2 linked regions of the Danio rerio genome follow. The protein of the gene in region 1 interacts with the protein of each later gene in a pairwise test. Links are inferred from orthologs where the notes say so. Each region holds a gene or a part of one and is shown in the gene's direction. Other genes may lie near its edges. The genes, in order: cinp and atrip.

Region 1 (4,329 bases):
CTTGAGTGGCCCAGCCAGAGCCCAGCCCTAAATCCTATTGAACATCTCTGAAAATGGCTGTACACCGCTGCTTTCCATCCAACCTGATAGAGCTTGAGAGGTACTGCAAAGAGGAGTGGGCAAAAATTCCCAAAGACAGGTGTGCCAAGCTCGTAGCATCGTATTCAAAAAGACTTGAGGCTGTAATTTCTGCCAAAGGTGCATCAACAAACTATTGAGCTGTGAATACTGATGTGCATGTGATTTTTCAGGTTTTTTATTTTTAATAAATTTGCAACAATTTCAAAAAATCATTTTTCAAATTGTCATTATGGGGTATTGTGTGTGGAATGTTGAGGAAATAAATGAATTTTATCCATTTTTGAATAAGACTGTCACATAAAAACATGTGGAAAAGGTGAAGCGCTATGAATACTTTCCGGATGCACTGTATGAAGTGGATCCCAGCTATCGAGGACTTCCAAGACAACACATACACTTAATAAACAAATACACTTTATCAAACGTGTACACATAGACATCACCTATATATGCAATTAAATTGCAGGTTAACCATGTCTGAATAATTTGATTGAAACTTTAACTAGATCTGATTGTAATGCGATAATGTGCACCTTTTGTAAAGCAGCTTAAGAACAGTACTGATAGTAAAAACTGCTATACAGATAAACTTGAATTGAAAAAGTTGAATGAACATTAACATGCAGAGAGCCCCCCTCCTCAATACAAGTCCCCAAACTTGTTGTCGTATGCATACACAATTGACTTAACGTTCTAATATTAGGTTCATCGAAACAGTTATTTCTGAGACTTAATTCGAGAAATGTACCAAATTAGGCGACAGGAAAAACTAATAAATACAGTGCCTTAATAAATGTTTTAATTTTAAAAAGGGAACAGTGCAGGAGACTGCGAAAAGGACTGTTGAATTAAAGTGATTTTCATCAGGAAGATGCAGTCATTTTTATAGAATATTAGAGCTTCTGTGTGACAAAGTTACACGCCCAACAAAAAAAAAAAATAGCAAACCAAAACTTCACTCATTTGCCTTTGACGTAGTCCCTGAAATATCACAGGCCACCACAGCAGAATGAACCACCATATAACTTTGGCATATGTTGTTGTTTTTACATGTGGCGGGTGTACTAGTAAGACAAATAAATTATAAATTATTGAAATCGCAAATCCATGGACCCTGAGAGCACATGCCTCTTCAGTTCTCGCACATTTAGCCAGTTATGTAATGAGTTATCTGAACCAGCAGATGGCGATAACTGGCTGTGAAAATGTCATAGCATGACACGGCAGAAGCAGAGCAAGAGTGGAAAACAAACACGCGAGTCTTGGGGATGTTGATCGGCATACTGACGAGCTCCTGAGGGCGCCGGGCGTGAGCGAGGACGCTGAGTTTTGAATGGTGAAAACTATACAAACAATACAACGTTTAAAGAAATTGGAATTGCTGGATGGAAACAACAGAAAGAAAAGTGGAGGTACTGGACATAGATGTCGAAATATGTGGACTAAGTCTGGGAAATCTGGAGAAATACAGAGAAGAATGGCAGGAAGGCACAGCTGTACTGTGAATGAGCCTGAGTGGGGAGAATGTGAAATAGAAGATAGCGATGATAGTATGGAAATGAATCAAGAATCAGTAAGAATGACAGGTAAGAGGGGAGGTGAATTTGATGGTAGCAAGGCGAAAAAAGCTAAGAACACTAATGAGTTAAGTAATAGAAGGACGGAAATAGAACAGGAAGTAGAAGCGTATAAGATTATACTTAGATTTGGGGAAGACAACGGATTATTAACAATGAATCCAATTAAACTAACTACAATATTGAAGAATCAAGTAGGAGAAATTATAATGGCTAAGGTACTGAGGGATGGAAATCTACTAATTGTGTGCAAAAGTGAGGAACAAAGAGAAAGAGCCATGAAAATCAAGGAAATAGGCAAATACAAAGTGTCAAATATGAGCAAAATCGGAGTAGGAAATAAACTGAGTAAAGGAGTAATCTGGGGAGTGCCAGTTGGAGTAAATATAGAGGATCTAAAATCAAATTTGCGAGGGGGAAAGATCAAAGAAGTCAGGCGAATGCAAACAGTGAGAGATGGTACAAGGAGTGATAGTGAAGGAATTCTGATTTTTTTTGATGATGAAGTTTTACCATCAAAAGTGACACTAGGATATCTGAGCTACAGAGTGAGAGAATACATACCTAGACCAGTGAGGTGCTATAACTGCCAAAGATTTGGGCATGTGGCGAAAATATGCAAAGGGAAGAAAAGATGTGCAAGGTGTGGGGGGAATCATGGATATGAAGAATGTAATCAAAACACACAGCCAAAATGTTGCAGTTGTGGGGAAAATCATAGTGTGGCATATGGAGGGTGTGTAGTAATGAAGAAAGAGAGGGAAATTCAACAAATAAAAACTCAAAATAAAATAACATATGCAGAAGCAGTTAGGAGAATAAAACAAAGAGAGAGAACTGAGGAAAATCCAGTTCTAGTCAGACAAAATGTGGAAATGCAGGAGGAAGTGGGTGATGAGAAAATATTGATAGAAGTTAAAAAATTGGTAACATTTATTGCAGGAGTAATAAATGCAACGATGGAAATCAAGTCAAAAACAGAAAGAATTCAGGTCATAGTGAAGGCTGCTGTCCATCATCTGGGTGTAAGTGGGATAACATGGGAGGAAGTGAGAAATGATCTGAATGCAAAAACAAGCCAAGATATAACTTAGAGAATACATAAAATATTATGCCTACTATACTACAATGGAATGCTAGAAGTCTTTTGGCAAATGGACAGGAATTTAAAAAATTTATTGAGGATTTATCAAATAAACCTGAAATTATATGTATTCAAGAAACATGGTTAAAAATACACTTGGATTTTAGGATTACAGGATATATAGATGTAAGACATGATAGGAAAGAAGAAATAGGAGGCGGTTGTGTAACATTTATTAAAGAAAATTTATCTTTCAGAGAAGTGGAAAAAGGAAAAGATCAGGAATATATTGTGATAGCAGTATGGATTAAAGGAGTAGAGCTAATAGTAATAAATTATTATAACCCTTGTAAGAAAATGGATATAAGTAAGTTGAGACAAATTAAAGAAATTAACAATCGGAATGTAATTATTTGTGGTGATTTTAATGCACATAGCACACTATGGGGAGGGGAAAAGCTTGATGAAAACGGAGAAATATTAGAGGAACTATTAGAAGAAATGAATTTGGTTTGTATAAATGATGGTAGCGGAACTAGATTAGATCTATATAGAGGAAAACTATCAGCATTAGATTTAACTATTGTATCAAAGAATTTAGGAGATATATGTAATTGGGAAGTATGGGAAGAATCAACATTAGGTAGTGATCATTTTCCAGTGATTAGTAAGTTAGCATGGAAAGGGGAGGAAGAGCAAAGAGGAAGAATAGAGAAATGGATATTCAGTAAAGCACAATGGGATAAATTTATGTATTTATGTAGTGTGAGAAGCGAAGAAATTGATTTAAATGATGAAATAGAAGAAATAGATAGAAAGATCAGAGAAGTTATAACAACAGTTGCTGAGCAAACAATACCTAAAAATAAAAGTAAAATGAAGAAGAGAGCAGTTCCATGGTGGACAGATGGTTGTAATAAGGCTGTTAGGGAGAGAAATAAAATGTTCAAGATTTTAAGAAAAACGCACAATATTCAAAATTTAATAAAGTATAAAAAAGCACAAGCTTTAGTGAAAAAGACTATTAAGGAGGCAAAGAAGCAAAGTTGGAGAGATTATTGTAGTAAAATAGGAAGAACAGTTCCGATTGGAGAAGTGTGGGGTATGATAAAGAGTATGCGAGGAATTAAAAAACAATGGCAATATCCAGTGTTAAAAGCAGGGGAGGAATTAGCGAGTACAGAAGAAGGAAAAGCAGAAATGATTGCAAAAGAAATTGTTAAAGTATATAGTTCAAATAATTTGACAGAAAAGGGACTGAGAAGTAGAGAAAGAACAAAAGCTAAATATCCAGGCATAAGTGATAAAAAAGAGAAAACAGATAGTTCAATGGATGCTCCGTTTACTTTAGGAGAACTGAAGAGGGCATTAGAAACATTTCAGGCAACAGCACCAGGTAAAGATAATATATGCTATGAGATGGTAAAACATTTAGATGTATTAGCTATGAGTAAGTTGCTAGGATTGTATAATAAGGTATGGGAGGAAGGAAAAATTCCTATGAGCTGGAAAGAGGCTATTATTATTCCTATTAGAAAACCAGGAAAGGACGCTACAAATCCAAGTAATTATAGACCAATAGCACTT
Region 2 (4,470 bases), on another chromosome or scaffold:
ATTGTTGTGTCTCAGGGAATTTTCACCGACACGAGACCCTAACATGAAATGCAGACAAAATATATGCATATTATGGCCACAAGTGGACTCATTCATTCCCACAATTTACTAATATATCTGCACGTTTTACTCATTTGTTTCAAGTGATCTCTACTAAACTGTGGGCATGTTGTAATAATTACTTTAAAAAACCTAAATAAAACAACAACAAAAACACTCGACATGCAACATGCTCGTACAACATGCACGAATTGTGCGAGATAAAAAAGTATGTTTTCATAGATACATTAGCAAAGATGCTAAATATCTGTAGACACACTACTGAACAAAGCTGCAGATAGTATTGTTTACCTTAGCACACTGTAGCCTATAAATATTTTTTATGTCTATATAAATTAAGGTAAGGCAGCTATATTTAGCACACTTATTACAGTTTGTAACATGCTAACTTAGCTCATATTTGTTAACTGCAAAGGTTTTGTCGTATAAAAAAGATCTGCTTGTTGTGATCACATAAAAATGTACACAATCATTTGTTCTCGTCAATAAATCGTAATAGTTGAAATAATAATAGTTCCAACTTAAAACAGCAGCAACAAAAACACTCCGTAGTTACATGCACACATTGTGTGAGATAAAAAAGTATGTTGTTCATAGCGAAGATGCTAAATCTGACACAATAGCTGTAGACAAATCTTTAAAGCAGCAAACAGATTTCACCTTTTATTAGTTTATTTCTGTAGCCTAACAATGTTATGAAGTCTAACTATATCATTTTTACATCTTTTGTTAAAAATAAAGCCTTTCGCAGCTATTTAGCGCAATTATTACAATTGGTTATAACCTGCATGCTAACTTAGCTCATAATAACTGCAAAAGTTTTGTCGTATATGGTGTAATCACATAAAAATGTACCTGCTGATTTTTAGTGATGATTTTGCTTAAAATGTATCAAAAATATCACTAAACACTATTTATTTTGTGTGTGCACCTTGTAAATATATTTTTAATCTTACTCATACTACTCTGCGTCAGTGTTTTGTTGTGAACTCATATTTTTCCATTTAAACTAAAATAATACAATCTTGAAGCCTTGCGATATGTTTACTACAGGTACGAGTATGTATAAGCTAAATGGTGAAGAAAACGTTTAACAAGCCCAAACTTTTATAAACACATCTTGTTGAACATGTTTAGACAACTTCCAAATCACGGCTTTGTGCAAGTTTTCTGAATCAAAATGAATGGTTCAAAACGCATTTTGTCGCAAGAGTGTCTCCGTAATACGTGCGCTACTCCTTTGACGAATCAGAGCTCACCGCTACACACTATGGCAGTGGTTTAGCCAATCAGGTGATGTTTTACTACCGCGTACGCTTTCGTCTGGCCGCATGGACACTCCTCCTCGCTTGAATGAATACCGAACCTTCAGAAATGCCTCCAACTTTTCCTCTTTTCGGTTATTTGTTTGTTTGGTCAACTACTTTTATGTAAACATTTCAGAATTGCACTTTATCTGGAGTGTTTACTTTTGGTTTGTCATGTCGGTGATTTGACGGGCAGTTGCAGGTTATGCAGGAATCTGAGGAGCGTAAATCAAGCAGGTGACTGATAAACTTGAGCACTTTACTACACCTTTACCATGTTAAAATTGGAGTCTGGAAGAGCATTGTGTGTTAGTTTGTTAGTCCGGTAGTAATGTACACTTTATAGGCTGAAAAATAACTGGATTTTTGACCAGTAAGTGAGTGTTATCGTATTAAAATTGTCACATGCTAACTGCTTGATATTAATGAACTGGCACGAACCGTACTGTATGTCAGGGTTTTGCAGTCTTTTATATGTCACGGACATCCAAACCCAAAATGTAAACTACATATTTGTAGTTGCAAAATACATTTATACTGCGAAAACTAGTGTTAGATAATGTGTCTAATGTTTTTTTCTAAATTATTTATTTTCTGCTATAATTTTTTGCAGATTATTAATGAATTCGTTGTCCTGGAACTGTTTTAATTGTTACATTTACAGTTTAAATCAAAAAGCTTGTCTATTTAATTGAAATAATTAGATGGATAGGTTTTTAATAAATATAGAAATGTGTGTTTAAACATTTATTTATATTGTAATACATATAGACATGTTACCCTGGATGTTATGAGGCTAGAATAAAAGCAGTTTTTAATTTTTTAAAAACATTTAAGATCAAAATTATTAGCCCCCTTAAGGTATATATTTTTTCGATAGTTTACAGAACAAACCATCATTATACAATAACTTGCCTAATTACCCTAACCTGCCTGATTAACCTAGTTAAGCCTTTAAATGTCACTTTAAGCTGTATAGAAGTGTCTTGAAAAATATCTAGTAAAATATTATGTGCTGTCATCATGGCAAAGATAAAATGAATCAGCTGTTAGAAATCAGTTATTAAAACTATTATGTTAAGAAATGTGTTAAAGAAAAATCTTCCATTAAACAAAAATAAACAGAGGGGCTAATAATTCAGGGGGTTTAATAATTCTGACTTCAACTGTACATTTATAGTGGTGGTCATGTATAAACAAACATTGTACAGCTTATGCAGTACTATTTATTATAAAACAGGTGAATTTACTAAAGTTTTAATCACTTTAAGACATATTTATCCAAATTTTTCCAAATTTAATGACATTCCATTAGTGACGATCTGTCCCTCATTTGCAAAGACAGTCCTGAGTCATAAGCAGTCACCTGCCAATAGATGTAATATAGACGTGGTGTTTTAGGATGCACAAATGAAAACCGTAGATGACCATAGGCATTTGCAGCTCTGCCCACAATTGAAAAGAAGGCTATCTCACTTGAATTTAAAGCAACAGTCAACAAAATATCACAATTTGGATCGAAGTCTAAAAAGGGCAGTTTAAAAGAATTATTAGTGGGGTATTTTGAGCTGAAATTTAACACGCTCTAGGTCAGGGGTGCCCAAACCCGGTCCTGGAGGGCCGGTGACCTGCATAGTTTAGCTCACACTTCCTTCAACACACCTGCTTGGAAGTTTCCAGTATACGTATAAAGAGCTTGATTAGCTGGTTTAAGTGTGTCTAATTGGGGATAGAACTAAACTCTGCAGGACACTGGACCAGAGTTTAGGCATTCCTGCTCTAGGGGTGTCAGAGACCTATCATCTTGTGAAAAGGGGCATAAACATTTTCTTTACTACACTAATTATTTGCTGAACATTAACAAGGTTTTATTGATTTCCCAGCAGGAGCTCGTTGACATGGACTTTCCCCCGAGCAAGAGACTGAAGGGCCCTCAGGTGAAGACTGGACCCGACCCGTTTGACGATGACATTGATTTCACCCAGGATGATCTGGAGCAGATTGATATTATTGCGTCTCAGGCCATCAGCGCAGACGTCCAGAACAGCGGCTCTAAGAGATCTTTCGACGCTGTGCTCGCTTGCGCTGATGAACCGAGCAAAGCTCCAGTGAGGTCCGGGCGGAAAACATTCGCCCTTGGAGATGCCTGCAGCAGCAGCACTTACAACAACACACACGCTCAAAGGAAAGAGCCTTCTGGTCAGTACTGGATGTTTCTGTTGCACTGTACACAAGTTTTTATATGTCCCATTGGGTTTTTGCAGTTGTTGTTGTTAATTTAAAAAACAAAATTAGAGACAGTTTAAAGAAGCAATTTAACATATTTGTTTGTTGTTTTGTGTCTTGTTAGTGGGCTATTATATATATATATATATATATATATATATATATATATATATATATATATATATATATATATATATATATATATATATATATATATACACACACAGAATTTACATTTCAGCCAGCCAGCCAGCCTCAGCACTTCCAGTGAATTGTCTTTCCGTTATAAAATTGCCATGTTTAAGGTCTGGGTCAGACTGGACAAGAAGCTCAGCATTAAATTACATTTCCTCTCGCCATGTCTTTAAAATATAACAGTTTATTCAACCCCAGAAGTTTCAATGGAGTTTCTGCACTCACCTGCTGACCCTGACAGCGCTAGAGGTTACACAGTCTTTCATCTTGTTTTACACTTAAACAACTCATGCCGAGTTCAGACTGCAAGATTTTAGCCTCGATTTTGACTCGCTGGCAGGTTTTGAGAAATCGCAGACAAATGCCTGAAATCACAGGCAAATCGATGTTCGTTCACGTGAGTAACAATCACAGTGTGAACTATCAGAGACACAGTCTGAGAGAATCGCAGATGAGTCATTGACACCCATGAGATATTTGTCATGGAGCTGTCGGCAATTCAAAATTATGCCAATGAGAGAGCAGAATCTACTAGTATGAGCATCTACAGGCCATCAGGAATGGGGAGAAATCAAAAAGGCTACTTTTCAGTCTATTTTGACCCAAGAAATGTAAGAAAAACAACTCTAGCCCAGATAATCATCATTTAAACTACTTTAAAAATCATGCAGTCTGAACCTGG

Evidence for each region.
Region 2: the proteins of cinp (region 1) and atrip interact in binary tests that used the Homo sapiens proteins (3 or more experiments, as listed by UniProt). The link is inferred for Danio rerio from reciprocal best matches to the Homo sapiens genes CINP and ATRIP.

Annotation. Positions count from the first base shown.
Region 1 is NC_133192.1:33,201,760-33,206,088, forward strand, and holds the start of cinp (cyclin-dependent kinase 2-interacting protein), read left to right. Parts: upstream 1-1,312; 5' UTR 1,313-1,351; intron 1,352-4,329. UniProt on the Homo sapiens protein: Component of the DNA replication complex, which interacts with two kinases, CDK2 and CDC7, thereby providing a functional and physical link between CDK2 and CDC7 during firing of the origins of replication.
Region 2 is NC_133197.1:10,190,816-10,195,285, forward strand, and holds the start of atrip (ATR-interacting protein), read left to right. Parts: upstream 1-1,407; 5' UTR 1,408-1,604; intron 1,605-3,250; exon of another isoform or gene 3,251-3,253; 5' UTR 3,254-3,265; coding exon 3,266-3,566; intron 3,567-3,971; coding exon of another isoform or gene 3,972-4,037; intron 4,038-4,470. UniProt on the Homo sapiens protein: Required for checkpoint signaling after DNA damage. Required for ATR expression, possibly by stabilizing the protein.